Elephas maximus indicus: one gene and its partners. The protein of the gene in region 3 binds, or shares a complex with, the protein of the main gene of each other region. Links are inferred from orthologs where the notes say so. Each region holds a gene or a part of one and is shown on either strand. Other genes may lie near its edges.

What was found. The genes of interacting proteins can lie anywhere in the genome.
Region 1: the proteins of RHO (region 3) and GRK1 are in contact, whole or in part, in a cryo-EM structure (PDB 7MT8), measured with the Bos taurus proteins. The link is inferred for Elephas maximus indicus from reciprocal best matches to the Homo sapiens genes RHO and GRK1. Residues at the interface, in NP_001014890.1 of Bos taurus: Lys66, Lys67, Arg69, Thr70, Arg135, Val137, Val138, Val139, Lys141, Ser144, Asn145, Phe146, Arg147, Phe148, Glu150, His152, Leu226, Thr229, Val230, Ala233, Gln236, Gln237, Glu239, Thr243, Ala246, Val250, Met257, Ile305, Tyr306, Met309; in NP_776598.1 of Bos taurus: Leu6, Glu7, Thr8, Val9, Val10, Ser13, Ala14, Ile16, Ala17, Ala18, Arg19, Gly20, Asp23, Ala24, Glu184, Asp185, Trp186, Phe187, Leu188, Asp189, Phe190, Val192, Arg195, Glu200, Gln205, Met206, Lys207, Lys221, Arg222, Thr256.
Region 2: the proteins of RHO (region 3) and SAG are in contact, whole or in part, in a crystal structure (PDB 4PXF), measured with the Bos taurus proteins. The link is inferred for Elephas maximus indicus from reciprocal best matches to the Homo sapiens genes RHO and SAG. Residues at the interface, in NP_001014890.1 of Bos taurus: Arg135, Val138, Val139, Lys141, Leu226, Glu249, Val250, Met253, Met309, Asn310, Lys311, Gln312; in XP_010802144.1 of Bos taurus: Asp71, Ile72, Met75, Gly76, Leu77.

What each region holds. Positions count from the first base shown.
Region 1 is NC_064835.1:74,757,835-74,768,272, forward strand, and holds the start of GRK1 (rhodopsin kinase GRK1), read left to right. Parts: upstream 1-3,567; coding exon 3,568-4,266; intron 4,267-6,621; coding exon 6,622-6,749; intron 6,750-9,135; coding exon 9,136-9,293; intron 9,294-10,438. UniProt on the Homo sapiens protein: Retina-specific kinase involved in the signal turnoff via phosphorylation of rhodopsin (RHO), the G protein- coupled receptor that initiates the phototransduction cascade.
Region 2 is NC_064824.1:135,424,033-135,434,470, forward strand, and holds the start of SAG (S-arrestin), read left to right. Parts: upstream 1-4,057; 5' UTR 4,058-4,359; intron 4,360-7,667; 5' UTR 7,668-7,695; coding exon 7,696-7,770; intron 7,771-10,438. UniProt on the Homo sapiens protein: Binds to photoactivated, phosphorylated RHO and terminates RHO signaling via G-proteins by competing with G-proteins for the same binding site on RHO. May play a role in preventing light-dependent degeneration of retinal photoreceptor cells.
Region 3 is NC_064838.1:38,156,673-38,167,110, forward strand, and holds RHO (rhodopsin), read left to right. Parts: upstream 1-4,297; coding exon 4,298-4,658; intron 4,659-6,800; coding exon 6,801-6,969; intron 6,970-8,282; coding exon 8,283-8,448; intron 8,449-8,577; coding exon 8,578-8,817; intron 8,818-9,633; coding exon 9,634-9,744; downstream 9,745-10,438. UniProt on the Homo sapiens protein: Photoreceptor required for image-forming vision at low light intensity. Required for photoreceptor cell viability after birth.

The sequences.
Region 1 (10,438 bases), on a different chromosome or scaffold from region 3:
CAGAGTTGAATGCCTTTGCACAGTCAATAAAAGGCAGGTAAACATCCTTCTGGTATTCTCTGCTTCTTCTGTTCAGTTCTTTTATGTCATCATTTCTTCCCAGGGGCAAGGGAGGAAGTGAAAATGGGGAGTTATTGCTTAATGGGGACAGAGTTTCTGCTTGGTGTGCTTGGTGATGAAACCAATTGCCAACATGTCAATTCCGACTCAGTGGCCTTACAGAACAGAGTAGAACTGCTCCATAGGGTTTCCAACGCTGTAAATCTTTATGGAGGTAGACTGCCACATCTTTCTCCCTTGGAGTGGCTGGTGGGTTTCAACTGCCAACCTTTCTGTTAGAGGCTGAGCGCTTACCCACTGTGCCACGAGGGCTCCTGGGGTGATGAAAGGGTTTTGTGATGGTTGCACAACACTGTGAATATAAGTAATGCCACTGACTTGTACACTTAAGAATGATTAAAATTTTGTTATATACTTTTTTACCACAATAATAAAAAAGACACCTAAACATGCAACTATCACACTACCCAGCAACCTTGCCGCTTTTCACACAGAAACCTGTCCATGAAAGTTTATAGCAGCTTTCTTTATAACAGCCCCAAACCGAAAACAACCCAGATGTTTGAATGAGTGAATGGTTAAAACAAAACAAAACAAAACAAACAACCAAACCGAAAAAAAAAAAAAAAAATACTATGGCATGTATACCTATACCATGCAATACTACACCTAGTGTCGTCGAGTCGATTCCGACTCATAGCGACCCTATAGCACTTACCCATAAAAAAGAACGAACTATTGATACTTGTAACAACCTGGACGACTCAGCAGGGAATTATGCTGAGTGGAAAAAGCCCACTCCAGAAGGCTAAGTACTGTAGATTCCAGTTGCATAATAATTCTTACAATGACAGAGTTATGGAAATGGAGAACAGATCTGGTAGAAGAGAAGTAGGTGTGATTGTAAAAGGGCAACCTGAGGGCTCCTTACGGTGATGAAATGTTCTGTATTGTTACTGTGTCCATATCAGTATCTTGGGAGTAATATTGTATTACAGTTGGCAAGATGTCAGTATCAGGAGAAACTAGGGAAAGGGTACAGGTCGTCTCTCCGAATTATTCCTTACAACTGCAGGTGAAGCTACAGCCATTTCAAAATAAAAAGTTTAACTTAAACAAAGGGGTTCCAGAGCCAAAAGGGTTTGGGAAACACTGCATTCTTTACCCTCCTCCCCCCGCAGGAAGACAAGTTCATTCTAAAATCTCTGAATAAATCTTGCAATAAGGAAACAAACAAACAAGAAAACCCCAACAAACCCACTGCCATTGAGTCGATTCTGACTCATAGTGACCCCATATGGTTTCCAAGGCTATCAATCTTTACGGAAGCACACTGCCACATCTTTCTCCCTCGGAGTGGCTGGTGGTTTCGAACCACCCACCCTTGGGTTAGCAGTCGGGCACTTTAAATAAGGAAACGTATTTAACTTTGTTGAGCTTAATGTTTCCCATTGTATTTGAGCACGGAACTGCCCCCATCCCCCAGGATACAGCTTGATGTTAATCCAACAGGGGTTTGTATTCCTTACACCCCTGTTCCTCACAGTGTGGTCTTGCACCAGGAGCTTCAGCATCACCTGGGACTTGTTAGACACCTTAGACACCCCAGACCCACTAAAGCAGAATTTTCATTTTAACAAGATCTCCAGGAGATTCATTTGCATATTGAAGTTTGAGAAGCCCTGACTCAGGACACACTTCAAGAAACACTGGAATAAGGTGTATTTTACGCAGCAACATGAAAACCATTGTTATATGGAATTCTGAGGGACAGGCAAGAAGTTGTTTTAGGGGGAACCAGAGGCTTGGAGGTTAAAGTGATCGGCTCAAGGTCACCTGCTATTAAGTGCCAGGGCTGGGACTAGCGAAGTTCTCCTGGGAGGATAATGTAATATTAGCTACTTTAATTTTTCTTGTAATATTCACCTCAAATACTTACTCAGCCAACCTGCCTTAAGCTTTGCTTGTTAGGAGACTGTGAAGACCATGACTTCTCAGCACAGCATGTTCTCAGGTCCATTTTCTCGATGGCTAGAGAGGACCCCACCCCTCTTCCCCGGACCTGCTTGCAGAGCTCATTGCCCACCTTGTTACTCCTCCACTCTGACTGTGATGTGAGGTGGGGTGGGCTGGATTGTCTCCAGGACCTCTTCTAGCTCAGACATTCCTTGTTTCTGTGACTCTCCAACTACCTCTCCTCTTTCAGCTAGTCATGTCCTTGTCATTCTTCCACAAACATTGTTGAGAACCTACTATGTACTAAGGAGTCCCAGGGTGGTACAAATGGTTAAACACTCGGCTATTAACTGAAAGGTTAGCAATTCAAGTCCCCCCAGAGGTGCCTCAGAAGAAAGGTCTACTTCTTAAACAATTAGCCACCGAAACCCTACGGAGCACAGTTCTACCCTGACACCCATGGGGTCTCCATGAGTCGGGATTGACTGGATGGCAACTAGCTTTTTTGTTTGTTTGTTTTTTGGAACCCCGGTGGCGTTGTGGTTAAGAGCTATGGCTGCTAACAAAAAGGTTGGCAGTTTGAGTCCATCAGGTGCTTCTTAAAAACCCCATGGGGCAGGTCTGCTCTGTCGTATAGGGTCACTAGGGGTTGGAATCAACTTCACGGCAACAGGTTTTTTTTTTTTTTTTTTTAATGTGCTAGGTGCTACGGATACAGTGGTGAAACAGACAGACAAGGTGCCTGCCCTTGTAGAGAACAAAGTGTAGATTAATCAAGTCGGTGGTTTCACCCAAGAATAAACCTAGGAAGCTTTTCATTGTTTTATTGTTATTATTAGTTTGTCTTTCTAAACTACTAGCAGCTTATTTTCTTCACATTGTTTTTAAAGATAAAAATGAAGTGAATCAGGGAAAAAACACCCAGGCATCTTTAATAAATTAAGGTTTCTCCTTGACCCCCCTCCCCGCCTTTCGTATTTGGGCTCTCTTGGCACCTCTCCTCTGCAGGGTTCAAGTCTCCACGCAGAGACCTTCCAGTCCAACATTCCTCTGACCAGGAAACAAAAAGGCATTCCAGCACACTGCGTTAAGCCAGAGGATCGAATTGAAGGGCAACTTAGAACGAATTTGTAGCTGAACGCTTCAGTGCTGCACACCCAGGGAATACTGGTGTTTGTTCTTTCTGACAGGAAAATAAACACCGTCGCCCAGAAAGAAGAGAGCTGGGGTTGAATTATCTGTCTAATCCATTTAGGAGATGGCTTAGGGGATTGTCTTTTTCTGGCACTTGTTAGTCACCTCTAACTCACCCTTTCTAACCCTCAGGAGCCTGGGATTTAACTTGATGTATCTTCAGCCCCTGAGGTTCCTGGGACTTTCCCAGTCCCAGTCCGTTGCACTGTCCAGGACATCTTCCGTGTCCCTGTGAAGGCAGGACAGGTGGCACCGGCCAAGGGCAACAGGTCAACCCTCATCTAGACGAAGCCTCTGTGGACCCAGCGTTGACCTATGGCTTTTCATGCCTGAAGCAGACCAGGGACCAGCACCAGAATGGATTTTGGGGCCTTGGAGACAGTGGTGGCCAATTCTGCCTTCATCGCCGCCCGGGCCAGTTTTGATGCGAGCAGCACCCAGTGTTCCCGGGACAAGAAGTACCTTGCAAAGCTCAAGCTGCCCCCCCTCTCCAAATGCGAGTCCCTTCGCGAGAGTCTCAACCTCGAGTTTGAAAGTGTATGTTCAGAACAGCCCATCGGCAAGCGCCTCTTCCAGCAGTTCCTGAAAACAGACGAGAGGTATGTGCCGGCCCTTGAGCTCTGGAAGGACATCGAGGACTATGACACAGCAGATACCAATTTCCGGTTGCAGAAGGCCCAGGCCATCGTGGCTGAGTACTTGGACCCCCAAGCCAAGCTCTTCTGCGGCTTTCTGGACGAGGGGGTGATGGCAAAGGTGAAGGAGGTGCATGCCGCTGTTGAGGACGGACTCTTCCAACCCATCCTGCAGGCCACCATGGCACACCTGAGCCAGGCCCCCTTCCAGGAGTACCTGACGAGCCTCTACTTCCTGAGATTCCTCCAGTGGAAGTGGCTGGAGGCCCAGCCCATGGGGGAAGACTGGTTTCTGGACTTCAGGATCCTGGGGAAAGGGGGCTTTGGGGAGGTGTCAGCCTGCCAGATGAAGGCAACTGGCAAGATGTATGCCTGTAAAAAACTGAACAAGAAGAGGCTGAAGAAAAGGAAGGGGTACCAAGTAAGCAGCTGCAGTAGTTCACAGCAAGTGCAAAGTAAATAGTTTTTAGATTCCCAGGGTGAGGTGGGGCGGGGTGGGTGGGTGAGTATCAGAGAATGTAAATTAGAACATAGAGGATTAGTCAGCGTCCCAATGGGCCCCCTTAGCTGGTTTGCGTACTGGACGTAGAAGACAGCATTGCCTTGGATAAGATGTTAACCTTGCCCTTGGCCACCCAAACCTACTTCATGTGTGCAATTATTGGCTCTTTTTTCTAGAGCATTTTCTTGTGCATCATGTTTAAAATCGCACATCAAAATTAGCCCTTTTTTTTCTTTCTTATTTTTGTGGCACTGTATCTCAGCTCTTGCTGTTTTCTGACCACAGTGCGGAGCTAGCAGGATGAGGTGTATGACCTCTAAATTCCTCTTCAGGTCTGTAGTTCAGTTTGTCCTGCTGCTGTTCCTATGGACAGGAGGTTTGCAGACTTCCCTCCTCAGAGACCCACCTTAGTGTTTGCTTCTTGATGTGGGTGATAGTCCACGTTTGGTCATCTTTCTTTTTTTGCTAACACCACTGAAATGCTGGAGCAAGTTTAAGGGGAAGAGTGCCTTATAGGGGAAAGCTGCTTATTCTTCTAGATTCTTACTCCTTCTGAAAGCCTTTTCCCAAACCCTTAGATTATATTATGACGGAAAATGCACAAAAAATTGTGGCAGGACTTGTGTTCATTCAAATATCACTTTTTTAAAAAAATAGGCTATTTTTTTAGAACAGTTTTAGGCTTATAGAGAAATTGTACAGAAACTACAGTGAGTTCTCATATACCCCTTCTTTCCTGTTGTTGTTGTCATTGTTGTTAGGTGCCGTCAAGTCAGTTCTGACTCATAGTGACCCTATGCACAACAGAACAAAACACTGCCTGGTCCTGAGCCATCCTTACAATGGTTTCCTACCTGCAGTCAAATATCACTTTGATTGACATGTTTATATGAGACAGAAACCCTCTGTAATGCTGGGATGCTGAATGTTTTTGCCCCTGAACGGAGCTATTTTCCAGGGAATGTGAGTGAATGGAAGGCATATAAAGGTTGCTCTAAGTTTCATCCTCTCCACCTAACTGGCACCAGATTGCCCTTTTAGGACAGGATCAGTGAAAGCTGCTTAAAATGTCTTAGGAACACATTTAAAGCAGCCTCTCCAGCTGCACGTTCTGCCACATACGGTTCTCTTTTGCCCTCAAGTGGCACAGCACAGATAGTGTTAAGAGCAGACAAAGTGTTTGGGGTTAAACAGCAACCACCACAAAGCATCTCCCAGCTGGGCGTTTCCTTGACAACGGGCCAGGCATACGTGTCATTTAGGTCCATTAGCTAAAGGTTAGATAGGTAGATAGCTAGCTGCTGTTGAGTTGGCGCAGGCTCATGGTGACCGTATGTACAACAGAACGAAACGTTGCCTGGGCCTGTATCATCCTGGTGACTGCCAACACGTTCAAGTCCATCATTGCAGCTATTGTGCAAATCTATCTCACTGAAAGGTTAAATATCAGACGCTTATAGCAACCAGTTGAGTGAAGGGATCCAGGAAAATTCACAGCGATCTCACTGTGAGACTTTGGGGTGGAAGTAATTACCCCTTATGGTTGTATAACTGTAACTTTAATTCTGCTGTTAGAGTACGATAGTCTCTTCTCCGCTTAAAATCAACTTAAAATATTTCCATCCAGGTATGGATAGAAAGGGCCTTCTCCACCACCAAGAATTCCTTCCTCAAAAAAGGGTTCATCTTTGCCTATCGAAACACAGCTTTTAACAACATGTTTAAATGGAACAGCACGAGGTTTTAAAACAGAGATAAAAAAATGAAATAGAGGTGTGAGGTGGTTTGGGAGGGTGCTGACCGAATGTTCTCTGTCTTTCAGAAGCCTGAACCAGAGAAAAGGGGAAAGATGAGTTGGTTAGACATAAAGGAAAGCACTAAGGGAAAGTAAACACTAAACAGGTTGTCAGGAGAAGGTGGAATCTTATTCTGATATTTTTAAAACACTGGTTGGTTTGAGCATCACATGCCTGGAGGCTGATCCAGCAGCCTGCCTAGTCCTCTGTGCATTAATGAATTTGCCACATCAGGTTTTCTCTCTATGAAATGGGTAGAGTGACACCTGTTTATAAGTTAATTGCAATTGCTTTTCACGTACTATTTTAAAAAGATAGTGGCAACTATGTTTCTATTTTTCCGTGTGTACCTTAAACAGTAGGCAACACTGTAGCTGATGATCTTAATGAGGTTTTCCTTCTTGTGGAACTTGGAATTTTATGGTGACGGTGCTTTCCTGACCAAACCTGGGTACTTACTCAACATCTTGCTTTTCAGGGTGCTATGGTAGAGAAGAAGATTCTAGCAAAAGTACATAGCAGGTTTATAGTCTCTCTGGCCTACGCGTTTGAAACCAAAGCCGACCTCTGTCTGGTGATGACCATCATGAATGGAGGTGACATAAGGTAAATGAATCTTCTTCAAATGTGGGAGAGGGTGACCTGGCTGTGATCTGGGATAGAGATGGCCTGATGGTCCGAGCTTAGTGAGAGGATCTCTGGGACCTGATCAAGGATGCTTCCCATGTGGGCAGAACCTGCGGCTACTCATGAATGCTGTTTAAGGGGCAGTGGGAAAGCCCTGTGCCCCGATCAAAATCCTCTTCTTCCTAGTTTTCACTGCTGACACCTGAAATGCCACGCCCTCAGTCTCCTATGAAAGGCAGGCACCCCTGAGGGAAGTAGGCCATTCAAACATCTCTGTGAATCAGGATGTCACTTCCTTTCCTAAGCTGGGTTTGGTTGGACATTGGGGAGGTGGGGCTGAGGGGTGTAGACAGCAGGCATATGGTACTACAGGTAGAGTGATCAACCAGTATGTGCTATTTGGATGGATGAATAATGGGGTGGAGGTGGGGGTCCTAGAGAGGAGTTGAGGGCTCTCCATTAAGAGGGATAGTAAATGAGGACAGACGTCATCAACTTCCCCATTTTGTGAAGGGCCCCATTTTGTGAAGGGCTGCTCTTAGGGAATATCAGTAGAGCTAGGAACAGAATGTAGCCAGTTGAGGATACCATGGTTTTCCCATCACCTGCAGAGAGGATGAGGCTGTGTCTCAGTGTTTGCCCTGTGCCTTGATTTGCCCTAGATCTGAGAGCCAGGCCCTGGGCTCCTGAGGTCAAGCCAGATCATTGACTCTCAGGGGAAAGGGCCACTAGACTCTTTGGGAGACTTGGATCATATAAAACCCTGATTGGGTTTGAGCTCAGTCATCTGAATTTTATTTTTGGGTGAAGAGAAGGAAAATTAACTGATTTTCTAGCTGGCCGACCTAATCTCTCTTTGCCTCAGTGTCCTGATCTATAAAATGGGGGATAAGTAATAATACCTATGTCGAGAGCCCTGGTGGCACAGTGGTTAAGAGCTCAACTGCTAACCAAAAGGTCAGCAGTTCAAATCCAGCAGCCACTTCTTGGAAACCTATTGGGCATTTCTACTCAGTCCTATAGGGTGGCTACGAGTTGGAATCAACTCAACAGGAACAGGTTATGTTCAAAGGTTGTTGTGAGGATAAAGTGGAGTAATACATGTGGAACACTTGGAAGAGTGGCTGGCATATAAGGGTTAAATAAAAGTGGGATGCTGCTATTGTTATTTGCAAGGCCCTGCACTTCCATTCTCTCATCTGGCTTTATCTCCATTGAAACTTCATGAGGTAAGTTTGATTACCCCATTTTACAGATGAAGAATCTGAGGTGTAATTTAAATAACCCATTCAAGGTCACAAGAAAGAGGAGGAACAGTGTGTTAGGAAGTACAGATAAAATACCTTCAAGACAGTGGAAATGATAATGGCCTTTTAAATTATATTATTTATGTTTACTTATAAATGTATTTTCTATTATTATTATTATTAATTTTTATTATTCTAGCTGTCTTGTGTCCAGCTCTCATCTGAAGGATTTCCTTAGGAATCCTGTTTCATCTCTACTCTCCCTGGTTGTTTATCTAGTTTTAAATAGTTTATTTCATTTTATTCATTAACCACAACCCAAACCCAAACCTGTTGCCGCTGAGTCAGTTCTGACTCATAGCAACCCTAAAGGAGAGTAGAACTGCCCCATATGGTTTCCAAGGCTGTAATCTTTACAGAAGCAGATTGCCAGGTCTTTTCTCCCACAGAGCGGCTGGTGGGTTTGAACCGACAACTTTTAGGTTAGCAGCCGAGCACTTAGCCACAGTGCTACCACCAGGGCTCCCTTTTAATTCATTAGGTTTCATTTTTCTGTAAAATATAATAGTGGAAAAAATAAGAAGAGATATATATACCACTCCACAATCCATCAAGGACTCTGATTCTTAAGGTTGAATGTAATAGCTTATGTGTTTATGTAGACTCTAAATGAATTATTTATATTTTGAAATAACCTGGATTCCTTATCCAGATTGCTGTCCCCTTCCTCTGCCCCTTTATTCATTCCGTTCACAAGAGTGCAATGGCTTTGAGGCCTGTTTTCTAGAGTCCGCGGCCAGAATGGGGAAAGGAAAGGGAGACAAGATGAATGTGAGTCATCTCCGTTCCTCCTCTTTAACAGCTGTGGTTAAGTGTTCGCGAGGACGTTAAAACCACCAGCTAAAACAAGTCTTGCTACTGCCTCTGGTTCCTTCTTTTGACATGATGCTGAGGCAAGACAAACGTCCCTGCGGCCAGATATTCCTCTAAAACAACATATGCCTCTGAAGCTTTCGTTCTGTTTTTCAGTGATTTTTCTTCCCATTAACACTGTGGGCACACTGCTTGGAGCTGGGCCTAGACAAGTACCCGCCTCTCTCACGGTGGTCTGCCCCCAGGTATCACATCTATAATGTCAGTGAGGACAACCCTGGCTTCGAGGAGCCACGCGCCGTCTTCTACACAGCCCAGATCATCAGTGGGCTGGAGCACCTGCACCAAAGGAGGATCGTCTACCGGGACCTCAAGCCCGAGAATGTCCTCTTGGACAACGATGGTGAGGGGCAGCCTCTCCCCACATGGGGTTCCCTCCTGATCTTGGGGGGATTATGGGAATCAGTCCAGCCAGGCTGCTCTCTCCCAGCTTGTCTCTATGGTCCAGGCGGTTACCTTTAAGAGGAGTGAACAGATTTTGATACATTTTGCTATACATTTAAAAAATCAAACCAGACCCATTGTCATCCAGTTGATTCTAACTGACAGCAATCCTATAAGACAGAGTGGAACTGCCCCATGGGGTTTCCAAGGAGTGGCTGGTGGATTCGAACTGCTGACCGTTTGGATGGCAGCCAAATGCTTCAAGGTTCATTTAAAAGCATCATATATAGCTATAAATAGGAGGCCTGGTGGTGCAAATGGTTAAGAGTCTGGCTGCTAACCGAAAGGTTGGTAGTTCGAACCCACCAAGTGGCCCCGTGGGAGGAGGACCTGGGAAACTGCTCCTGTCAAGATTACAGCCTGGGAATCCCTATGGGACAGTTGTCTGCTGTCACATGGAGTTGCTATGAGTTGGAATCAACTGGATGGCAAGCAAAGTGATAACAAAATAGCTAAGCAAGCACTATAGCTTTAAAGGGCACATTTTAATTCCATTATTTCTCATTCAACGGTCCTGAAGCAGGAAGGTAGCTGGCAGAATCTTCAAATGGGCATCATGATTTTTAATGGACTTTGGTGAAATTTGGTTCATCCAAAGATATCGATTGTTATTAGATCTATTAGTAAACAGCTAACGATTTATGGCCAGATCCGTATTGTGTCTTTTTTTTTCTCTCTCACTTATATGTGAAATCAAATTGGGATTCTTATCAGAAAATAAACATAGAGATGTAGACATCCAAAACAGTCTTTAGATTGTCCTCCATTCATATCAGTAAGTCAAGGAAATATGTAGGTATTCACCAAAGCTGTTGCAGCCAAGATTGGGGATGAGAAAGCAGATGAAGAAACTGAATTTTGGGTTGATTATGCCCTGAATTCCCGGTGGAGGTACTGATGGCACTCAGCCCCCAACCCCCTCTGTGCCTCTCTGCAGTCTGGCCAGGGAAGGAGGGGGGACAGTTCCCACAAGTACCTGGGCTGCTGTGACCTTGCTGCCCACGTGGCTGCCCAGGTGTGTGCAGAGGGTGGTGCTTGGCTCCC
Region 2 (10,438 bases), on a different chromosome or scaffold from region 3:
AAGAATCTGTACATGGATCAAAAGGCAGTCCTTTGAACAGAACAAAGGGATACTGCATGGTTTAGTCAGGAAAGGTGTGCATCAGGGTTTTATCCTTTCACCATATCTATTCAATCTGTATGCTGAGCAAATAATCTAAGAAGCTGGACTATATGAAGAAGAACGGGGCATCAGGATTGGAGGAAGACTCATTAACAACCTGCTTTATGCAGATGACGCAACCTTGCTTGCTGAAAGTGAAGAGGCTTTGAAGCACTTACTAATGAAGATCAAAGACCACAGCCTTCAGTGCGGATTGCACCTCAACATAAAGAAAACAAAAATCCTCACAACTGGACCAATAAGTAACATCATGACAAACGGAGAATAGATTGAGGTTGTCAAGGATTTCATTTTACTTGAATCCACAGGCAACACCCATGAAGGCAGCAGTCAAGAAATCAAAAGACGCATTGCATTGGGCAAATCTGCTGCAAAGGAACTCTTTAAAGTGTTGAAAAGCAATGATGTCACCTTGAGGACTAACGTGTGCCTGACCCAAGCCATGGTGTTTTCAATCACCACATATGCATGTGAAAGTTGGACAATGAATAAGGAAGGCCGAGAAAGAATTGGTGCCTTTGAATTGTGGTGTTGTCGAAGAATATTGAATACACCATGGACTGCCAAAAGAACGAACAAATCTGTCTTGAAAGAAGTACAGCCAGAATGCTCCTTAGAAGCAAGGATAGCAAGACTGCATCTCACATACTTTGGACCTGTTGTCAGGAGGGATCAGTCCATGGAGAAGGACATCATGCTTGGCAAAGTACAGGGTCAGTGGAAAAGAGGAAGACCCTCAATGATACGGATTGACACAATGGCGGCAGCAATGTGCTCAAGCATAGCAACGATTGTGAAAATGGTGTAGGACTGGACAGTGTTTTGTTCTGTTGTGCACACGGTCGATATGAATTGAAATCAACTCAATGGCACCTAACAACAACAGGAGAGCCAGATCACGCGGCAACTCGCCGGCAGCATGTAGACTAGATGGAAGCAGCAGAGTGTTTCCAGCAGGTGCTGGCATGCCGACGACGAGACCAGGCTTTTGGCTTAGACTGGCTCTGGTCGCCAATATACCAGTGGCCACAGCATCCCAGCCACTTAACCCTGAGCACCGTCCAGAGCCAGGTTTGCTGTGACGGCTTGAGCTGTGTTCCCAAAAGCCTGTGTTGTCAATCCTAACCCTTATACTTGTGGAGGCAATCCCATTTGGGAATAGGGTTTTCTTTATTATGTTAATGAGGCAATAGCCACATAGGGTGTGTCTAAACCAATCACCTTTGAGATATAAAAAGGGCCGCTCAGGCACAGAGAAGGCAGCACAAATGGAGAAAGAGTGATGCCACATGAAGATTGCCAAGGAGCCAAGGAGCAGTAGCTGAAGAGACAAGGCAGTTCCCTCAGGGCCAACAGAGAGAGAAAGGCTTCCCTTAGAGCCGGCACCCTGAATTTGGACTGCTAGCCTCCTAACTGTGAGAAAATAAATTTCTGCTCCTTAACGCCACTGCCTGTGGTATTCCTGTTACAGCAGCACCAGGTGACAGAGACCGTAAAATAGTTCCCAAGTAAGAGTAACATGCAGCCGTGCCTCCAGCCTCATCTGGGAGGTTGGGGAAGGCTCCCCTGAAGAAGTGGCTCCGGAGCGGACATCTTAGGGCAAAGAAGAGGCACGGAGGTAAAGAGAGAGACAGGTCCTTCCAGGCAAGTGGGGAGGGAGCAGGGGAGCGTGGTGCAGCTCAGTATGGAGAGGCAAGCACTGTGATCTCTTTGCTGTAAACTGAGAGCAAAGGGCGCTGTGAGCAGGAGGGCGATGGATCCGGGCTTGGCAGGTCTCCCTGCTGCGACATGGACCAGACTGGAGGGTGAGATGGGTGCTGTCAGACAGCCAGGAAGTTATGGTTTAGGAAAACCATGACGGATACATGGACTCAAGAGGATGTGGTACTGCAACTCAAGAACAAAAAGACAAAAAACCCAATCCAAGAATGGGCAAAGAATATGACTAAACACTTCAGCAAAGATCTACAAATGGCCAATAAGCACAGGAAAAGATGCCCAATGTCATTAGTCATTAGGGAAATGCAAATGAAAAGCTCAGTGAGATATACTTCACACTAGCTAGGATGGCTATCGTCAGAAAAATGGAAAACAATAAGGATGTGGAGAAATTAGAACCCACGTCCCTTGCTGGTGGGAAGATAAAATGGTGCAGTTACTGTGGAAAGTAGTTTGGTGTTTCCTCAAAGAGTTAAACACACAATTACCATATGACTTAGCAATTTAACTCCTAGATACATACCCAGGAGGCTTGAAAGAGGGGCACAAACAGATATTTGCACACCAATGTTCACAGCAGCATTATTCACAGTTGCCAAAAAAGGTGGTAACAACCCAAGTGCCCATCAACAGAAGAATGGACAAAGCAAAATGTGGTCCATCCCTACAGTGGAATATTCCTCAGCCATAAAGAGAAATGAAGTCGTAATACCTACTACAATGTGGATGAACCTTGGAAACAAGCTGAGTGAAACAGGTCAGACACTGGAGCCCTGGTGGCACAGTGGTTAAGAGCTTGGCTGCTCACCAAAGGGTCGGCAGTTGGAATCCATCAGCCGCTCCTTGGAAACCCTAGGGGGCAGTTCTACTCTGTCCTATGGGGTCACTACGAGTTGGAATCGACTCGACAGCAGTGGGTTTGGTTTGGTTTTATATGAACATGTAGAGTAGACAAATGTGCAGAGCACAGAGTTTATTACCAGGGGTGGGCAGGAGGGAAAAGCGATTGCCGAAAAGGCACAGAACTTCTGCTAGGGGTGAGAAAAAAAATTGGAACCTGTGGTGGTCGCACATCATGGTGAATGCAATTAACGTCACTGAATTGTACACAGAGAAATGATGGAAATGGCAGCTGTTTCATTACCTACATTTTATCATAATAAAAAAATGTCATATGTGTATACAAACCAGGTGCCGTCGAGTCGACTGACTCATGGCAACTCCTTGAGTTGCCAGAGTGGAACTACGCTCCGTAGGGCTCTCAGTGGCTGATTTTTCAGAAGTAGATTGCCAGGCCTTTCTTCCGAGGAGCCTCTGGGTAGACTTGAACCACTAACCTTTCAGTTAGCAGCCGAGGGCTTAACAGTTTGCAAGACCCGGGGACCCTAATACAGGTATACCCGTGGCTGGATTCCGACTCATAGCGACCCTAGCAGACAGAGTGCCTGGTGGATTCGAGCTGCTGACCTTTTGGTTAGCAGCCGAGTTCTTTACCAGTACACCACCAAGGCCAATACGTGTATAAAAACCGAACGCGTTGCCCTGGAGTCGATTCCAACTCATAACGACCCTGTAGGACAGAGCAGTTCTGCCCTATAGGGTTCCCAGGGAGTGCCTGGTGGATTTGAAATGCCGGCCTTTTGGTTAGCAGCCATAGCACTTAACCACTACGTCACCAGAGTTTCCAATACATGTATAGAAAAAAAAAAAAATTGAATAATACAGAGACGATAATATAAAAACACATATTTTCTCCCCACACCCCCTCCCCCTAAAAAAGAACACAGAGAAGGGAAGGAAGGAAGGAAGAGAGAAAGAGAGAAGATAAGGTGGTAGAGGTGGGAAGCAGTAGACTGACTCTGGAGCCATGGGGGAGAAACTGACAGCGATCCTGACAGACGGGGCTTGAGGGGGAAGGAGAGGGGCCTCCCCAGCAGGGCTTGTGTAAAGCCAGGGCTCCAGGGCTGCTCTTGAGGTTGCTATTTCTCCTTGACCTTTTTGTTTACGTTCCCATCCTCAAGGTTGAATTAGCTGCCAGCTGTGTTTAATCAAGTTTGTTGAGCACTTGAAAATCCCCTGTCCTGGTGATACTGGGGGGGAGGAAGGGATAATCAGTCTATTTTCAGAACCCAAAGAGGTTTAGGATCAAAAGGAGCTTCCATCTAACTGTCGTCCGCCCCCCCGCCCCCAACTTCCCCAGGCTGGTATGGCAGCCCCTGCGTCTGTGCGGCCCCAATCTGAGGCGACGGGTGTGACCCCTGCCTAATGCTCAGAATTGCTGAAACGGCCAGTTTGCCCACCTCCGCACTAATCCAATTTCCATCCAGCTCTGTAAGTGGGATTTGGCTTCTAGACACTGCGAGCGGGGTGCCTGGCCTCCTCTCAGACCCACTACAAATCCCCACACACATCGCTGTGCCTGGGGGTCGCCGTCAGGCCCGGCTCGTGCGGAGGCAGCTGCTAGCCCCTCATCCTTGGAGCCCGCGGAGACCTGTCCTCACTGCCTGGGCCGGTTGGCAGGTGCTCAGAAATCACAAGGTATGTGACAGCCAGCCTAGGCCTCTCAGAAACTCTGGCGGGGGCCCGGGGAAAAACAGAGCATCCTTCAACAAGAGCCCTGGGTGGTGCAAACGGTTAGGGTGCTCAGCTGCTCTGCTACTTGAAAGGTTGGAGGTTCAAGCCCACCCAGAGGCACCTCAGAAGAATGGCCTGACATTCTACTTCCGAAAAGTCAGCCACTGAAAGCCCTGTGGAGTATGGCTCTGTTCTGACACACGTGGGGTCGCCACGAGTCGGAACTGACTTGACGGCAACCGGTTAACTGGTGATCCCTCAGTAGGCGAACGGACAGGCCAACCAGTGCAGCCAGACAGTGGAATGTTAGAGAGAAGAAAGCACTTCTCGAGCCGGGGAAAGACATGGGAGAGCCTTAAGCGCATATAAACCCAAACTGGTTGCTGTCCATTTGATTCCGACTCACAGCAAAACGCATATAGCTGCGTGGAACGAGTCAGGCTGAAAGGCTGCGTATTGCAGGTTCCAACTATATGGTATCCTGGAAAAGGCAAAACTGTAGACACAGTAAAAAGATCAGTGGTTGCCAGGAGCTTGTGGGTAGAAGGGAGGGACGAACTGGTGAAGCACTGGCATTTTGTTGTTGTTGTTGTTGTTAGGTGCCGTCCAGTCGCTTCCGACTCACAGGGACCCTATGCACAACGGAACGAAACACTGCATGGTCCTGTGCCATCCTCACAATCGTTGTTATGCTTAAACCCACTGTTGCAGCCACTGTGTCAATCTGTCTTGTTAAGGGTCTTCCTCTTTTTCACCGACCATCTACTAAGCATGATGTCCTTGTCCAAGATACATGAGATGAAGCCTTGCCATCCTCACTTCTAAGGAGCATTCTGGTTGTACTTCTTCCGAGACAAATTTGTCTGTTCTTCTGGCAGTCCACGGTATACTCAGTATCCTTCGCAAACACCATAATTCAAAGGCATCAATTCTTAGGTCTTCCTTGTTCATTGTCCAGCTTTTGCATGCACAGGAGGCAACTGAAAACTCCATGGCTTGGGTCAGGCACACCTTAGTCCTCAAGGTGACATGTTTGCTTTTCAACACTTTAAAGAGGTTTTTTAGGGCAGTGAAATTATTCTGTGTGATACTGTAGCAGGGAGTCCATGACATTATGCGTTTGTGAAAACCCGTAGACCTGCAAAACACAAAGAGTGAACCCCAAGGTAAACTATGGACCTTAAGGAGTCCCCGAATGGTGTAAATGGTTAACGTGCTCAGCTGCTAACCAAAAGATATGGTGGTTCGAATCCACCCAGAGTTGCCTTGGAAGAAAGGCCTGGTGATCGTCTCTGAAAGACCACAACCAAAGAAAACTCTACAGAGCACAGTTCTACTCTGAGGTTGCAATGAGTCAGGGTCGATTTAATGGCAATTAGGGTTTTTCTTTTTTGGTAGTTAATAGTAAACCAGTGGGTGTTGAGTTGACTCCGACTCACAGTGATCCCATCTGTGTCCGAGTAGAACTGTGTTCCACAGGGTTTCGGTGGCTGATTTTTTGGAAGTAGATCACCAGGTCTTTTTTTCAAGGTACCTCTGGGTGGACTGGAATCTCCAACCTTTTGGTTAGCAGCTGAGCTGTCCCACCCAGGGACTCTAGTTAGTAATAAACTATCAGTAAATGTTCATTTGTTGTAATAAATGTACCACAGGAATGCAAGATGTCAATAGGAGGAGAGAGCTGGGGAGGGTGATGGGAAAGGTGTATATGGGAACCTCTGTGCTTTCTTCTTTTCTTTGTGTTTTCTTTTTTTTTGTAAACCTAAAAAAAAGCGAGTAGACAGCCTAATGGGCTTTTCCGGGTAATCGGTCTGTTCTGTGTCACCCTTCTGTGTACGGGACTTTGCTTGTTAAGGAATCTCTGATCTGAAAGCATTTAATTCCAGACAGCTAAGACGGTCTCCCAGTTGTCTGCGCAGCTGGGGAGTGACAAAAGAGAGTGCAAGAAAAGGAAAGCGTTGCTTAGTGGGAATGGTGGAACAGAACGCCTGGGGATGTAATATATTTTGAAGTAGTTGTCTTGTGGTTTTCAGCAACTTTTTCTATTTACTTGCCATAAGACACTGTAATGATAGAATTTTAAATTCAACCTGGCTAAGTGTGAAGTGGAGGGTAGTGCTAGTATAAGGGTGGAATTCTTGCCTTCCACTCGGGAGGCGCACGTTCGATTTCCCGGCCAACACTCCCCATGCACGGCCACCACCCATCCGTCAGTAGAAGCTTGTGTGTTGTTATGATGTTAAACAGCTTTCAGCAGAGCTGCTAGACTAAGAAAGACTAGGAGGTAAGGTCTGGTGACCTACTTCCAAAAATCAGCCAAAGAAAACCCTATGGATCACAGAGGTTGGATCCGAAACCAATCATGGGGACGGCACAGGTCCAGGTAGCGTTTTATTCTGTTGTGAATGGGGTCGCCGTGAGGCACGAGCTGACTCGATGGCAACTAACAACAACAAACGTGAATTCGTCGGAGGGTCGTCAGGAAGTAAAACCCTCTCGCTTGAATCTAGCTGGGCTTTTTGAGGATGTTGATTAAGACGTATTTGAGGCTTACCAAGAAAAAGAAAGAATATATACGTATTTTTTTTAAAGCACACCATCGCCAGTGACCTCCCTGACAGGGGGCACAACAGAGAATCCCTGATGGAGCAGGAGAAAAGTGGGGTGCAGACCTCAAACTCTTGTAAAAAGATCAGACCTAACGGTCTGACTGAGACCAGAGGGACCCCGGCGGTCATGGCCCCAAGACTCTCTGTCAGCCCAAAACCAAAACCGTTCCTGAAGCCAACTAGCTCTCCACACAAGGATTAGCCTGGACTATAAGACAGAAAGCGATCCTGGTGAGGAGCGAGCTTCTTGGCTCAAGTAGACACATTAGACTATGCGGGCAGCTCCTGTCTGGAGGCGGGGTGAGAGGTCGGAGGGGACAGGAGCTGGCTGAATGGACACGGGGATACAGGGTGGAGAGGAGGAGTGTGCTGTCTCACTGCGGGGAGAGCAGCTAGGAGGACACAGCAAGGTGTGTATAGCTTTTTGTATGCGAGGCTGCCTTGATTTGTAAACTTTCACTTAAAGTACAATTAAAAAAATAAAAGCACACCACAGCAAAATACAAACTAAACAAAGACCTTATTTAGTCAAACATGGGAGCTGAGCAGGTAGAAGGAAAAGATCAATGGATATATAGCATCCCCTGACTGGGTTTTACACCCAGCATGTTCTTGGCTTTATATTTAGGATCTTTTTACCTTTTCCCTGTTGTGCATCCCAAGGTGAAAGAAGTTGCCAGGGACAGAAAACATGGCAGCCAGTGGGAAGACAAGTAAGTCTACCCAAAACCATGTCATCTTCAAGAAGGTCTCCCGGGACAAGTCGGTAAGTGGCACAGGAGTGAGTGGCTTAATGGAAGGGTGTGAAAAAGATATATTCTTATTAGTTTCCTCGGGCCACCATAACAAATACCACAAACTGGGTAGCTTACAACAATAGGAGTTTATTCTCTTGCAGTTCTGGAGGCTGAAAGTCAGAAATCAAGGTGTCAGCAGGGCCATTTTCTCTCTGAAGGCCCTAGTGGAGGATGCTTCCTTCACCCTTCCAGCCTCTGTGGCTCCAGGCATTCCTTGGCTTGTGGCCGCATCGCTCCAATCTCCGCCTCCATCTCCACACAGCCATCTTCACTCTGCGTCTCTCTGTGTCTCCTTGTCATATAAGGACATCATGTTGGATTAGGGCCTACCCTACTCCAGAATGACCTCACGTTAACTTAACCAATTACATCTGCAAAGATGTTATTTCCAAATAAGGTCACATTCACAGTTTTGGGGGTTAAGACTTGAACATATCATTTTGCCGGACACAGTTCAACCCATAACACTTCCTTTCCAGTTGCAGGAGAGAGGTGCCCTGGCTCCCATCGGAGACTCACCACTGTACATCCACCTGGATCTCAGGGTTCACCGCCTCTTCAGGTTCTCAACCATCAGGCCCTCCCTGGCTGCATCTTTAACCTCTTCCTCTGTACCCGTGCTTTCCCTGAGCATAAACACAAGTGCCAGCCTCGTGCATCTTAAAAAGGACAACAGCAAAAGCTTCCCTTAACCCTATTCCACTTCTGTTAACCTCCTTATCGTTCTCCATCGTTCACAGCCAAGCCTTCTTGAAGGAGAAGAAAACACCCCTCCCATTCACTCTTCAATCCTCCCTCCTCCAATCCAGCTGCCTAACTGGCTTCCCTTAGCCCATCCATTCTCCACTTTGCTGCTGACGTGATCAAAGTCTCAGTTTTCTCCTCTGTACAATGGGGTTAATTCCTGTTCCATGGAGTCGTGTGAGGATTAAATAGAATAATGCAGTTACGGTCCTTAGCTTGGCCCCTGGTGCATGAGAGGTGCTCCAAATACTATGTAACTGCAGGTCTTTCATTCTGCCTAGATCTTTAGGGTCAGGTCTTCAATGTCTGCTTAGATCTTTAGGGTCAGGTTCCACAAGACCCTTTCTGGCTTTAGCCTACATCTCCATTTACTGGCCGTTCACCTGCAGATGGAGCATTTTCTTGGCTCTAAGCTTTGCATACGCTGCTCTTGTGTTTTTTTTTTTTTTCTTTGCCCACATCCTCCTCGACCATCCCCATCACCTGGCTACTCTGTCCTTCAGGTCTCAGCCCAGGTAGAGACTCCTCCAACAGCCTTCCCCTCTCCTCCCCTCCTCACCATCATCCCAAGAGTCTGGGTCCAGCCAGCCTCTGCCCTGGAATTTACCTGACGGGTTCATGACCATCAGTTCACTTGCCTGGCTCCCAGCAAAACAGTAAGAACTTCGAGAGCCAATGCTGTGTTGTGACTTGTTTGATATTTATCCCTGGGGGGTGCAAACGGTCAGCACACTCACTCAGCTGCTAACCAAAAGGTTGGAGGCTCGAGGCTACCCAGAGGCACCTCAGAAGAAAGGCCTGGTGATCTTCTGAAAAATTGGCCAATGAGAACCCTATGGAGCCAGTTCTACTCTGACATACGTGGGGTCGCCATGAGTTGGGGTCGACTCAGCTGCAACCGATATGGCCCACTGGTATCCAGCACTGACCCTTGCTTTATCACGCTCCTCGGACTTCCTCAGAGCATGGATGCAGGTTTACCTGTGTGGAAGTACACCTGGTGGGATTTCAGGGACTCCTCCAGAATTCCCACCTATTTGCTCAGTCCAGTATTCTTTTAACAAAGGGGGAAACCTTTCATTCCATAGCCAGGAAGAAAAGGCTTAACTTGCAAATGGGTGGTAGAAGCCTCGTTTTCATAGGTATAACTTTCCACTAATGTTGTTAGGTGCCACCGAATTGGTTCCAACTCATAGCAACCCTGTGCACAACAGAACGTAACACTGCCTGGTCCTGCGTCATCCTTACAATTGTTGTTATGCTTGAGCTCATTGTTGCAGCCACTGTGTCAATCTACCTCGTTGAAGTTCTTTCTCTTTTCCGCTGACCCTGTACTTTGCCAAGCATGACGTCCTTCTCCGGGGACTGATCCCTCCTGACAACATGTCCAAAGTATGTAAGACACAGTCTCACCATCCTTGCTTCTAAGGAGCATTCGGGCCGCACTGCTTCCAAGACAGATTTGTTCATTCTTTTGGCAGTCCAAGGTATATTCAATATTCTTTGCCAACACCACAATTCAAAGGCATCAGTTCTTCTTGGGTCTTCCTTATTCATTGTCCAGCTTTCACATGCATATGATGCGACTGAAAATACCATGGCTTGGGTCAGGTGCACCTTAGTCTTCAAGGTGACATCTTTGCTTTTCAACACTTTAAAGAGGTCCTTTGCAGCAGATTTGCCCAATGCAATGTGTTGTTTGATTTCTTGACTGCTGCTTCCACTAATGTATCATCAGTTAATTTAACAAATGTACCTGGTTGATATAAGACCTGGGCTCCACAGGGGAGGGTGGGGTGGACAGGAAGCCTCTGACCATCCCAAAGGGAGGGAGAATTCACTGGGGGCAGGGGAGAGGTAAGGGGACAAGAAAGACAGCTATGAAGCCGAGGA
Region 3 (10,438 bases):
GGAGGCCTCTCCAAGGATGAGCGTTGTGAGCTGATACCTGAGCGAGATTCAGTAAGAGAATAACGCTATCACCGATGTCTACTGAGCAGGTACTAAGCACTCCCAACAGCTCTGTGAGGTAGGCACTGCTATGATTCCCGTTTTACAGAGTAGGAAACTGAGGCACAGGGAAGGGAGGAGCTGGCTGAGCCCAGGCTGTCTAACACAGGGCCTGTGTCTGTCTCTGAGCCCCAGTCTAGGTATAAGCATAAGTCGTGTTCAAAAGGGCATGCCCAGCGAGGGCTGTGCAGCAGGGTCTGAAGGTCCCTAGTGGGCCTTGGGGGTGAAGCAGCAAAGCAGGTTAGGTTTCTTGTAGGTGTGAATTCTCAGAGGTGTCCTAGTCTGAGCAAACTGAGGCCCAGAGAAGGCAAGCGGGGCATTGAGTCTCAGACGACCCACCAGTCAGGGTAATGGCTGCATCACCCAGGCCTGCCTGACAGCCTACGGCTTTTCCCACCACCCCAGCTAAACTCTGTCCTAGTCATTTACACCCTGTGTCTCCCATAGGGTCATCAGGGCCGGTCTGGGGCACCCCATGAAGCCACTGAGAAGCAGGGTGCACCATCTGTTGCAGAATGTGGGCAGCTCACGGCCAGACTCTGGACCTCAGTCTCTCTGTCTGCAAAATGGGACCGGGAGGTAGAGTAGGTGACATACTGACGATAGCGACTCCGCCACCTTTCTCTGCGAACCTGCTTAACAAAGAGCTTTTTTGTTTAAAAAAATTTTTTTTGATCTTGCTTTACAGAATACAGAGCACCGTCTCCCCAGAAATGGCCTTTGATTCCTCCCACAGCCTGAGGGAGGGATGAGCAAAGTCTCCTACAGACTGAGGCTATGAAAAGGAGAGTGTTTACCCAGATCACCTAGACACACCCATTCATTCACTCATTCACTCACTCAACAAATACTTACAAAACACCTACTATGTGTCAGGCTTGGTGAACACATCAGACAGAAATCCCAGCTCTTTCTAGTGGAAGGACAAATATTCACGATGTTCCTGCTATATGCTAGGAGTCTAGGGATCCTCTGGGAGAGGAACAAAAAGCACATGAACAGAATATAAATAAAATGCTTCCAAATAGTCCTAAGCATTAGAAAGGAGACAGGAGAATGTGGAGGTAAAGGAGAGCAGGTGTAAGGGTCTGGGCTTGGCCCGCCAGGGTGGGGCTGGGTGTGGGCCGCTCTTGGCCCAGGAGATCAGTGCTCCGTCTCTGGCAGGGTCTGTGGGAATCAAACCCTCCACCTTGACCTCATTCGCATTGGGCTTAATCACCAGCCAAGCGCCTTAAACTTCGAGAGGTCAGCACTACCCCTCCCTCTCAACTCCACTTCATGAACACACTGTCCATCAGCCCCACCTATGGGAAAAGCCTTAGACACCAACAGGGCTGGAACATGGGAGTTATCATGATTCCCAGGTGGGCTGGAGTGTGGGAGGCACTTTTCTGAGCAGACATGATCCAGGAACCCCAGATTGGGAAGAAAGACTAGACGAGAGAAAGTGTAAGGGAGGTGTCTTACTTATCTTCGAAGAAGAGGAAGACTCTCAATGAGATGGATTGACACAGTGGCTGCAACAACGGGCTCAAACATAGCAATGATTGTGAGGATAGTGCAGGACTGGGCGGCATTTTGTTCTGTTCTAACACAGAGTTGCTATGAGTTGGAACTGACTCAACGGCATCTAACAATTTAGTTATCCAGTGCTGTTATAACAGAAACACCACAAGTGTGTGGCTTTAACAAACAGAAATTTATTTCCTCACAGTTTAGGAGGCTAGAAGTTCAAATTCAGGGCACTGTCTCTAGGGGAAGGCTTTTTCTCTCTGTTGGCTCTGAAGGAAGGTCCATGTCTCTTTAGCTTCTATTCCTTGAAGGCATGGACCTTCATGGCATCTCTCTTCCCCCATCTCATCTTCCTTCACTCACTCATTTAATCTCTTTTATATCTCAAAAGAGATTGACTCAAGACACACCCTACACTAATCCTGCCTCATTAACGTGACAAAGACAACCCATTCCCAAATGAGATTATAACCACAGGCATAGAGGTTAGGACACACAACGTACATTTTGGGGGGACACAATTCAATTCATAACAGGAGGGAAGTCCTAGAGACAGGGACATTGACCCTGGTGACCTTCTGTTCCTGTCTCAGAGTCTTTTAAAGTACTGTTTCCCCTGCCAGGAACCCACCTGCCCCCCGATTTTGGTATGGTTGGTCCCATTCCATCGTTCTGTTCTCAGCTCAAGCTTCACCTTCCAAGAGGCTTCCCTGGCCTTCCAAGAGGCTTCCCTGGCTGCTTACTATAAATTATAGGTGTTAGGAATGGGATGAGTCATCACAGGTTTCTGTTTTATTTTCTTCAGGTAACACTTGTTGTGGAGCCATGGTGTCTCAGTGGTTAAGAGCTCAGCTGCTAACTAAAAGGTTGGCGCTTTGAATTTACCAGGCGCTCCTTAGAAACTCTATGGGTAGTTCTACCCTGTCCTACAGGGTTGCTATGTGTTGGAATCAACTTGACGACAACGGGTTTGGCGGTTCCATTGTTATTTATTTCATTGCCTGTTTGGGGCCAGGGGCTCTGTCTCACCACTGGGTCTCCCAGAACCTAGAACCTTGTCTTGGAACACAGTAGGTGCTTGATAAACATCTGTAGAATGAGCAATGGTCCAGAGCACTGCATGAGGCCCATCCAGTGCCCTCATTCGTCACCTCGTGGACCCTTGCTCACCCTTAGCTGGGTCGTCCTCGCATCACTTGTGTGCTTGGAGAGACTGCACCTGCCAGTACCCAGTGACATTTGCACGCAGACCACCTTCCCCTGGCGCTTTCCTCCCCACTGTGTGTCCCGCTGCCCTGAGACCAGCCTTCGGGGGCTCTTGTCAGGCAGCATCCTGGGCCCACTCTCCCAGCCCACCTGGTAGCAAACACCGACAGATGACCCCAGACAGTATCCTGTCTGCTTCACATCTCCTGGGTTCTCCTGCCTTCGGACTGGAACCTGCAGAAGGGCAGGGCCGAGTCTGCCCCACTCACGGCAGTGACCTGGTGCCCCCCCCGCACCTGCCACATAGACCCCTCCTGCCTACAAGGTCCCTGCTCTGGTCACCCCTCCTGGCCCCCTCCTTCATACTTACTCCCTCCAATCCATTTCTGCTGGGCCTTTGAGCCACCTTTCTGCCCCCAGTTCTGCTCAGGCCACTCCCCATTGCTCTCTGGGCAAAGCCAAGCTCCAGCGTTGGCATTCAATGCCCATCAGAGCTGGCCCCAGCCCTTCTCCTGCCCCTCAGCTGTGTGGGGCCTCTTTCCCCAGACCTCGAGCCTGGAGCCTCAAGCATCTGCTCTGTGCTCAGCCCTTTGCTTCACCAGTGCTGTTTCCCCCATCCCCACCCCAAAGACCCAAACACAGCCTTCCTGATGACCTTCCCTCTTCATGGCCTCATGCATACCCCTTATTGGGTGGGGATCTCTTCCTTCCCACATCTCAGTCCTCCCCAGCCCAGAAACTCCTCCTGGCAGGGCCATTTATTCTCAGTCTCTGTGTCCCCAGAGGCCAGAACATAGATGCTTAATGAACGATGAGTGAGTAGATTCCAACTCAATTTAACCAACATTTCTTGAGTGAGCGCCAAGGCCCTGCTGTGCTGGAAGTTTGACACTAGGAGTGCCGAAGCTGGCAGGATGCACTTAGCCCCACAAAGCTCATAATCTGAGATGAGCGAGTGTTGTGTCAGGGAATAGGTGAGCCTTGGAGCAGTCTAGATAGAGAAGGAATAGGTGCGTGGTAGAGGATAAAGGAAGACAGCCTCCCCTCCCCCTGCCCGTGGGAGCTCATGGTGCCATCAAAAAAGACCTGGATTTAAAGGGCAATGGACATGGAGTAGGTAGGCCCCAGCCCCAGGCTGAGCCACCAGAGTGAGATGGGCAGAGATGGAGGAGGGGCGACTTCCTGTTCCCAGGGCCCTGAGCACCTGCCCTCACTGACCCCAGGCTCCATCTGGTGTCACCTTGGCCCCTCTTGGAAGCCAATTAGGTCCCAGTTGCAAGTGGTGATTAGTATGATTAATAACGCCCCCAATCTCCCAGGTGCTGATTCAGCCCAGAGCTTAGGGAGGGGAGGTCACTTTATAAGGGCTTGGGGGGGGGAGTGTCTGAGCCCAGAGTCATTTGCTGGTGTCCTGGTGACTGATCCCAGCTTGGGCAGCATCTTCAGGTTGTAGCGCGTGGGCAGCCTTGAGGCCGCAGCCATGAATGGGACAGAAGGCCCGAATTTCTACGTGCCCTTCTCCAACAAGACGGGTGTGGTACGCAGCCCCTTCGAGTACCCGCAGTACTACCTAGCAGAGCCATGGCAGTTCTCCATGCTGGCCGCCTACATGTTCCTGCTTATCGTGCTTGGCTTCCCCATCAACTTCCTCACGCTCTACGTGACCGTGCAGCATAAGAAGCTGCGCACACCACTCAACTACATCCTGCTCAACCTGGCCGTAGCCAACCATTTCATGGTCTTTGGCGGCTTCACCACCACCCTCTATACCTCTCTGCATGGATACTTCGTCTTCGGGTCCACTGGATGCAACCTGGAGGGCTTCTTTGCCACCCTGGGCGGTAGGGGCTAAGGGCAGGTGGGCGGAGGGCTGCAAGGGGCTGGGGATAGCTACAGACCTAGGGATGGAGGCTGAGGGGCCTTCTTCTCACTGGACTCATCAGCATCATCCAGTACCTGTACCAGTTGTTGTTGAGTTGACTCTAACTCATGGCAGCCCCTTGAGTGTCAGAGTAGAACTGTGTTCCATAGGGTTTGCTATGGTTGATTTTTTGGAAGTAGATCTCCAGGCCTTCTTCTGAGTCACTTCTCGGTGGACTTGGACTGCCAACCTTTTGGTTAGCAGCCGAGGGTCTTAAACAGTTTGCACCACCCAGGGACTCCAGCATCATTCAAGGCCCTGGTTCATTCAATCAACAAACATTGTCAGTAATGATAAGATAGGTGCCTTTTGTTGAGGGCAGCCGCTAAACGTTCTTTATCTCATTGGAAGTGGGTCTATTGTCCCATTTTGTAGCAAGGAAACTAAGATTCAGAGGAAGCCAGTGCTGGAGGTCCCAGAGTGCTGGGGGCAGAGCTAAGTTCCATCTCTGTGGTTCTTCAGGCTAGGCTCTGCACTCCAAGCCTCTGTTGCCCTGGGAACAGCTGCACTGGGTGGACCCATGGTGGCCACTGGGGATAGAACTGGACAAGTCTTACCCTCCAGAGGCTTCCAGCCCAGGGCAGGAAGCCAACTCTCCCTCCTCTAGTCATTGAGTTTCTTCTGAGCACCCCCTCTGTGCTGGGTGGTAGGACCAATCCTTCCAGGACCACCTGATACCTGAGTGCCCCTCCAGCCTCTCTGCTGTGCTTGAATGCTTTTTGTGTTGGGGAGCTTATCACCTTCTGAAGAAACACTTTCACTGTTGCTGTTGTTAGTTGCTGTTGAGTCGATTCCGACTCATTATGACCCCAAGTGTGCAGAGCAGAACTGCACTTCTTAGGGTTTTCAGGACTGTGACCTTTTGGAAGCAGATTGCAGGCCTTACTTCCAAGGTACCTTTGGGTGAGTTTGAACCATCATCATTCCAGTTAGCAGTTCAGTGCTTAACCGTTTGCGCCACCCAGGGACACCACCCCTTTCACAGGGAGGCATTAGACCTGTGGCAATCTGTAGCTTTAAAAAGTGCTTTCAGACATTACCTTTCACTTGACTAGAAAACTGATGGGGGTGCCACAGGGATAATGGATCCCTGAGGCATGGAGAGGGAAGAGACTCATTTAGGGAAGTAACAGGGCAAGCCCAGAGCCTGGGTCTTCTGGCTCAGATCCAGGAACGTCTCCTGGGACACATAACAAGAAGGAGAGGCAAGAGTCAGGTTATTCCAAGCCAGGGCGGCCTGCTCTTCCTGGCCTTCCCTCCCTCACACGTCCAGGATGCTTCCCAGTCCTATTCTCAAGGACTCTGGTCATCATTGGGTGCTCGCTTCCTTCAATGGTCCCATTTCACTCAGGCTCAGTCCTGAAGGTGGGAGTGGAACAGAAGTTCCCCAAAGAGGTGGACACTTGTCTCCAGGGTCAGTTCAGTTTGTAACTGTTGTCCTGGAATCATTATTAGTGGTGTCCCCTTGCACTCTTGGAAATGTCCCGGTTTGGTTGATAAGTTATGCAGCCCCACTACCTACTGAGCTTCAGGGCTGAGGTGAAGGGCAGGCTTCTGGATTCCATCATTATTACCTTTCGCTTCCTCAGGACAGAGTGTCACCCAATCCTTCCTGGCCCCTAACAGAGGATTCCCGGGGCCTGGGTGCTTCCACTTCTCTGGGAGAGGGGAGACTAGCCCAGAGGGAGGGAGAACTTTCAGCTCCAGGTTCCCTCTACCGCTACCCTTCCTTCCACCAAGGCACTCAGCCTATTGCCCAGGAAGGACATGTCCTTCTCTAAAAACTTCCTACAACTGTGAACCATAGTCTGGCTTCAGTGCCCCTTGTGGCCCCAGTGCTTAACCGAACTAAACTAGGACTATCTGCTCACCCCTCTTGGGATACTGCCTGACCCTCATGGCCTCCCCTCCCCGTCTCATAGCCCTTCTTATCCTGTGCTCAAACGCCCACTCCAGGAGGGCTTCCCTCTGCCCTCCCCTGTAAGTAGCAGTGCCCCCTCCTCAGACAGCCAGGTGGGGTCCAGGCAGGGGCCGTGCTGACTGACTGCTGACTGCCTTGCAGGTGAAATCGCCCTGTGGTCCTTGGTGGTCCTGGCCATCGAGCGGTATGTGGTGGTGTGTAAGCCCATGAGCAACTTCCGCTTCGGGGAGAACCACGCCATCATGGGTGTCGCCTTCACCTGGGTCATGGCTCTGGCCTGTGCTGCGCCACCCCTCGTTGGCTGGTCCAGGTAATGGGGCTGGGTAGGAGGGAAGGGCCTCCAGCCAGGATTCAAACCCAGGGCTGTCTGATTCCAGGGACCGAGCTCTTAGGCCCCCTACCCCAAATGCCCACCCTGGCAACTCTCATAGTGTAAGGCTTAGGATAGGGGAAGAGGAACAGACCCTGATGTTACCATGGAGACTGGTCCTAGCCTCTGAGCCCCCTTGTCAAGGAGAATCTAAGCCTCACCAAACCTTCACCTTGGCTTTGCCCCTAATCCTCAACTAAGCCATGGCCAATTACAATCCTCTTTGGCCCAGTGCTCCACGGGCAGCCCTGACCTTGGGCCTCAGCATGGGAGAGGCCCAACCTTCCGAGTGTAGGCAGTGACTTTGGCCACTAGAAACTGGTCTAGTCTGGCCTCAGGCCATGGTCTCCAGATGGGGGCTGAGCTGAGAGGTGGTGGGGATGGTGTTAGGGTACCCAGACTAGGGACTGTAAGGACTGTGGCCAAAGAAGACAGAGCTTCCAAGGCTTCATGGTCCCTCTGCTCCAGGAAAATCCCACTCTCTCCTCCCTTTCATCCTCTCTAATCTTCCCGGGTCAGTTTCTCATCTTGCCCACTCTGAGCCCATCCCCACCTCCCAACCTCTCCCCCATCTTCTCCAATCTGGCCATTACATTCTCCAATGGGCATTCCACATACAATTTCTCTGTCCTCAGAAACCTCTGAAACACCCTCACTGCCTGCCCCAGGAGCTTCTGTTTCCAGAAGCTGCACAAAAATCCCCTCTCTACTCTGCGTGCCCATCTTTGGCCTAGAAAAGACTCTTACTCTATTGCTAGTGAGAGCCCAGGTTGTACAAACTGCCTCAAATACAGAGCTTGTGGGCATTTTCCTTCTGCCACAACTTTGCCCTGTGAAGTCCGAGTCCCCACCCTCCAGGCACTAGGAGACAGTTGACCTGGGGAAGAAACGGAACATGGGACAGTGGGCAGGCAGCAATGCAAAGAGAAATGTGGGGCCAGGCAGTCCTGGGAGCAGGACTGGGCCAGAGGCTAGCAGTCTGTCTTAGTCCCACAGCTGCCAAGTACAGTGAAACTACATTGTTTTTCACAAGGTACATGGGACTCCCTGGCCTCGGTTGATTCAAATTCACAATCACCCAGCCTAATAGGTATTTTATTTTCCCCATTTTACAGAGGAGTAAAGTGAGGCCCAGAGAAGGGCAGAGGCTGGCTCATGGCCCCACAACAAGTATGTTGCAGAGCCAGGATTCTGGCCTCTGGGGCCTGCTCCCAAAGACTCTCACAATTGGGGCCCCCTTTTCCTGGCCCCAGGTATATCCCTGAAGGCATGCAGTGCTCATGTGGGATCGACTACTACACGCTCAAGCCCGAGGTCAATAATGAGTCCTTCGTCATCTACATGTTTGTGGTCCACTTCACCATCCCTATGACCATCATCTTCTTCTGCTACGGGCAGCTGGTCTTCACGGTCAAGGAGGTATGTGGGCCCCAGCTCTGTCCCTCTGCTCAGTGCCTGGCTGTGCTAGGCCCTGGGAACAGGCATGTTGAGTGGGATGCCTGCCCCTGTCCTAGAACCAGTCTGGACACCAGGCCTCTCCCCATGCAGGCGGCTGCCCAGCAACAGGAGTCAGCCACCACCCAGAAGGCGGAGAAGGAGGTCACCCGCATGGTCATCATCATGGTCATCGCGTTCCTGATCTGCTGGGTGCCCTATGCTAGCGTGGCCTTCTATATATTCACCCACCAGGGCTCTGACTTCGGGCCCATCCTCATGACCCTCCCAGCGTTCTTTGCCAAGAGCTCTGCCATCTACAACCCCGTCATCTACATTATGATGAATAAGCAGGTGTTGTGGGCTGGGTGGGGAGGGTCACATCCTCAGTGGGGCCTCAGTCTTCCTTTCTGTGCAGTGCCCGCAGGGGAGTCAGTCTTCATCAGGGCAGAGTGCATCATGGGTAGGTAGCCTCATCTGGGAGCCCGTGTGAAAGGCAGATTCCTGGGCCCCACCCAGATCTACTGTATCAGAACCTCTGGGGGTGGGCCCAGGAATCTGCATTTCTAACAAGCCCTCCCAAGGATTCTGATGTTCATTAGGGCTTGAGAAGCATTGGTTCAAATGGTTTGGGAGGCTCGCTTTACAGTCAAATGGTCCAAGTCCCAAGACCGGGAATTGAACAGTGCCAGTTTCCATGAAGCTGAACAAGAAGCTAAAAAGTCTTATTCTGAGGCCAGAAGATCTGAACAGGTTAAAACATCCCTATAACAAAGACCTGAGTTTTCTCTGTTGAATCTATGATCCGGAGGGAAAAACAGTGTCTGGAGTCAGGCATGGGTTCAAAGCCCAGCTCTGCCATTTTCTAGCTGTGTGACCTGGGAGAAGTCACTTCAGTTGCTTCATCCACAGAAAGATAATTCACAGGAAGCTGCCGGCACAATAGTTTCTCACTCTGTCGGTGTCAAAGCCCCCTTGGGTTTGGTCTTTGGCATCTCAGAGTGGAGATAATTTATGCTAAGTTCCCTCCAGAGATCCAGGTTCGAGGGGAGAGGAGGTCTTGAAGGACAGAAGCAGGGAAGGAGTGAGAGGCAAATCTCTACCCTCACCAGGTTGCCAGGGCCCCACGCTGGGAGACCCTGATTCTGACCCACACTCCTTGCCTTCCAGTTCCGGAACTGCATGCTCACCACCATCTGCTGCGGCAAGAACCCATTCGGTGAGGAAGAGGGCTCCACCACCGCCTCCAAGACGGAGACCAGCCAGGTGGCCCCGGCCTAAGCCCTACCGAAGGCTCTGCACCGGCTAGAGGAGAGTCATACCCCCCGCACCTGCCCCAAGCCATAGCCGCCCCACCAGCAGGGTGCCTGTCGGAACCAGGCCACACAGGTTCCCTGATTTAAAAGAAGAAAAATAAAAATCATGAACTAACGAGAGAAAAATGAAGCTGCCCCCTCGGTGGGGTCAGCCTGAGGAGGGACCACACCGAGACCCCAATCTGGAGTTCCCAGGGGCTGATGGGACCTGTCTGCCTCCTCCCTCCTCATCTCTCAGGAACACAAGGACTCTTGCTCTCTGGAAAGTGTCCCTGCTTAGGGATAAGTGTCTAGCACAGAGAGGGGCACATAGTAGGTGCTTAATAAAAGCTTGATGGATGAAGGAAGGAATGGATGGAGGAAAGAATGGAGGAACGAATGGCTGGGAAAAATCTACCTGTCCTCTCAAAAGCATCTTAGCAACAGCAGCTCATACTTTTGGTTATGTGACCTTGGGCAGTTGCTTTCCCTCCGGAGCCTCCCTTTCTTGCCCCATAGAACAGAAATCCCAATCCTGGACCTGCCTCCTACCTAGGGCTGCTGTGAAGATCAGATGAGATTGTGTGTGTGTGTGTGTGCGTGCACATGTGCACGCATGTGTGTAAGCACTTTGTAAATGATAAAGAGCTGTACAGACTGTAGTTAAGGTCATGAATAAT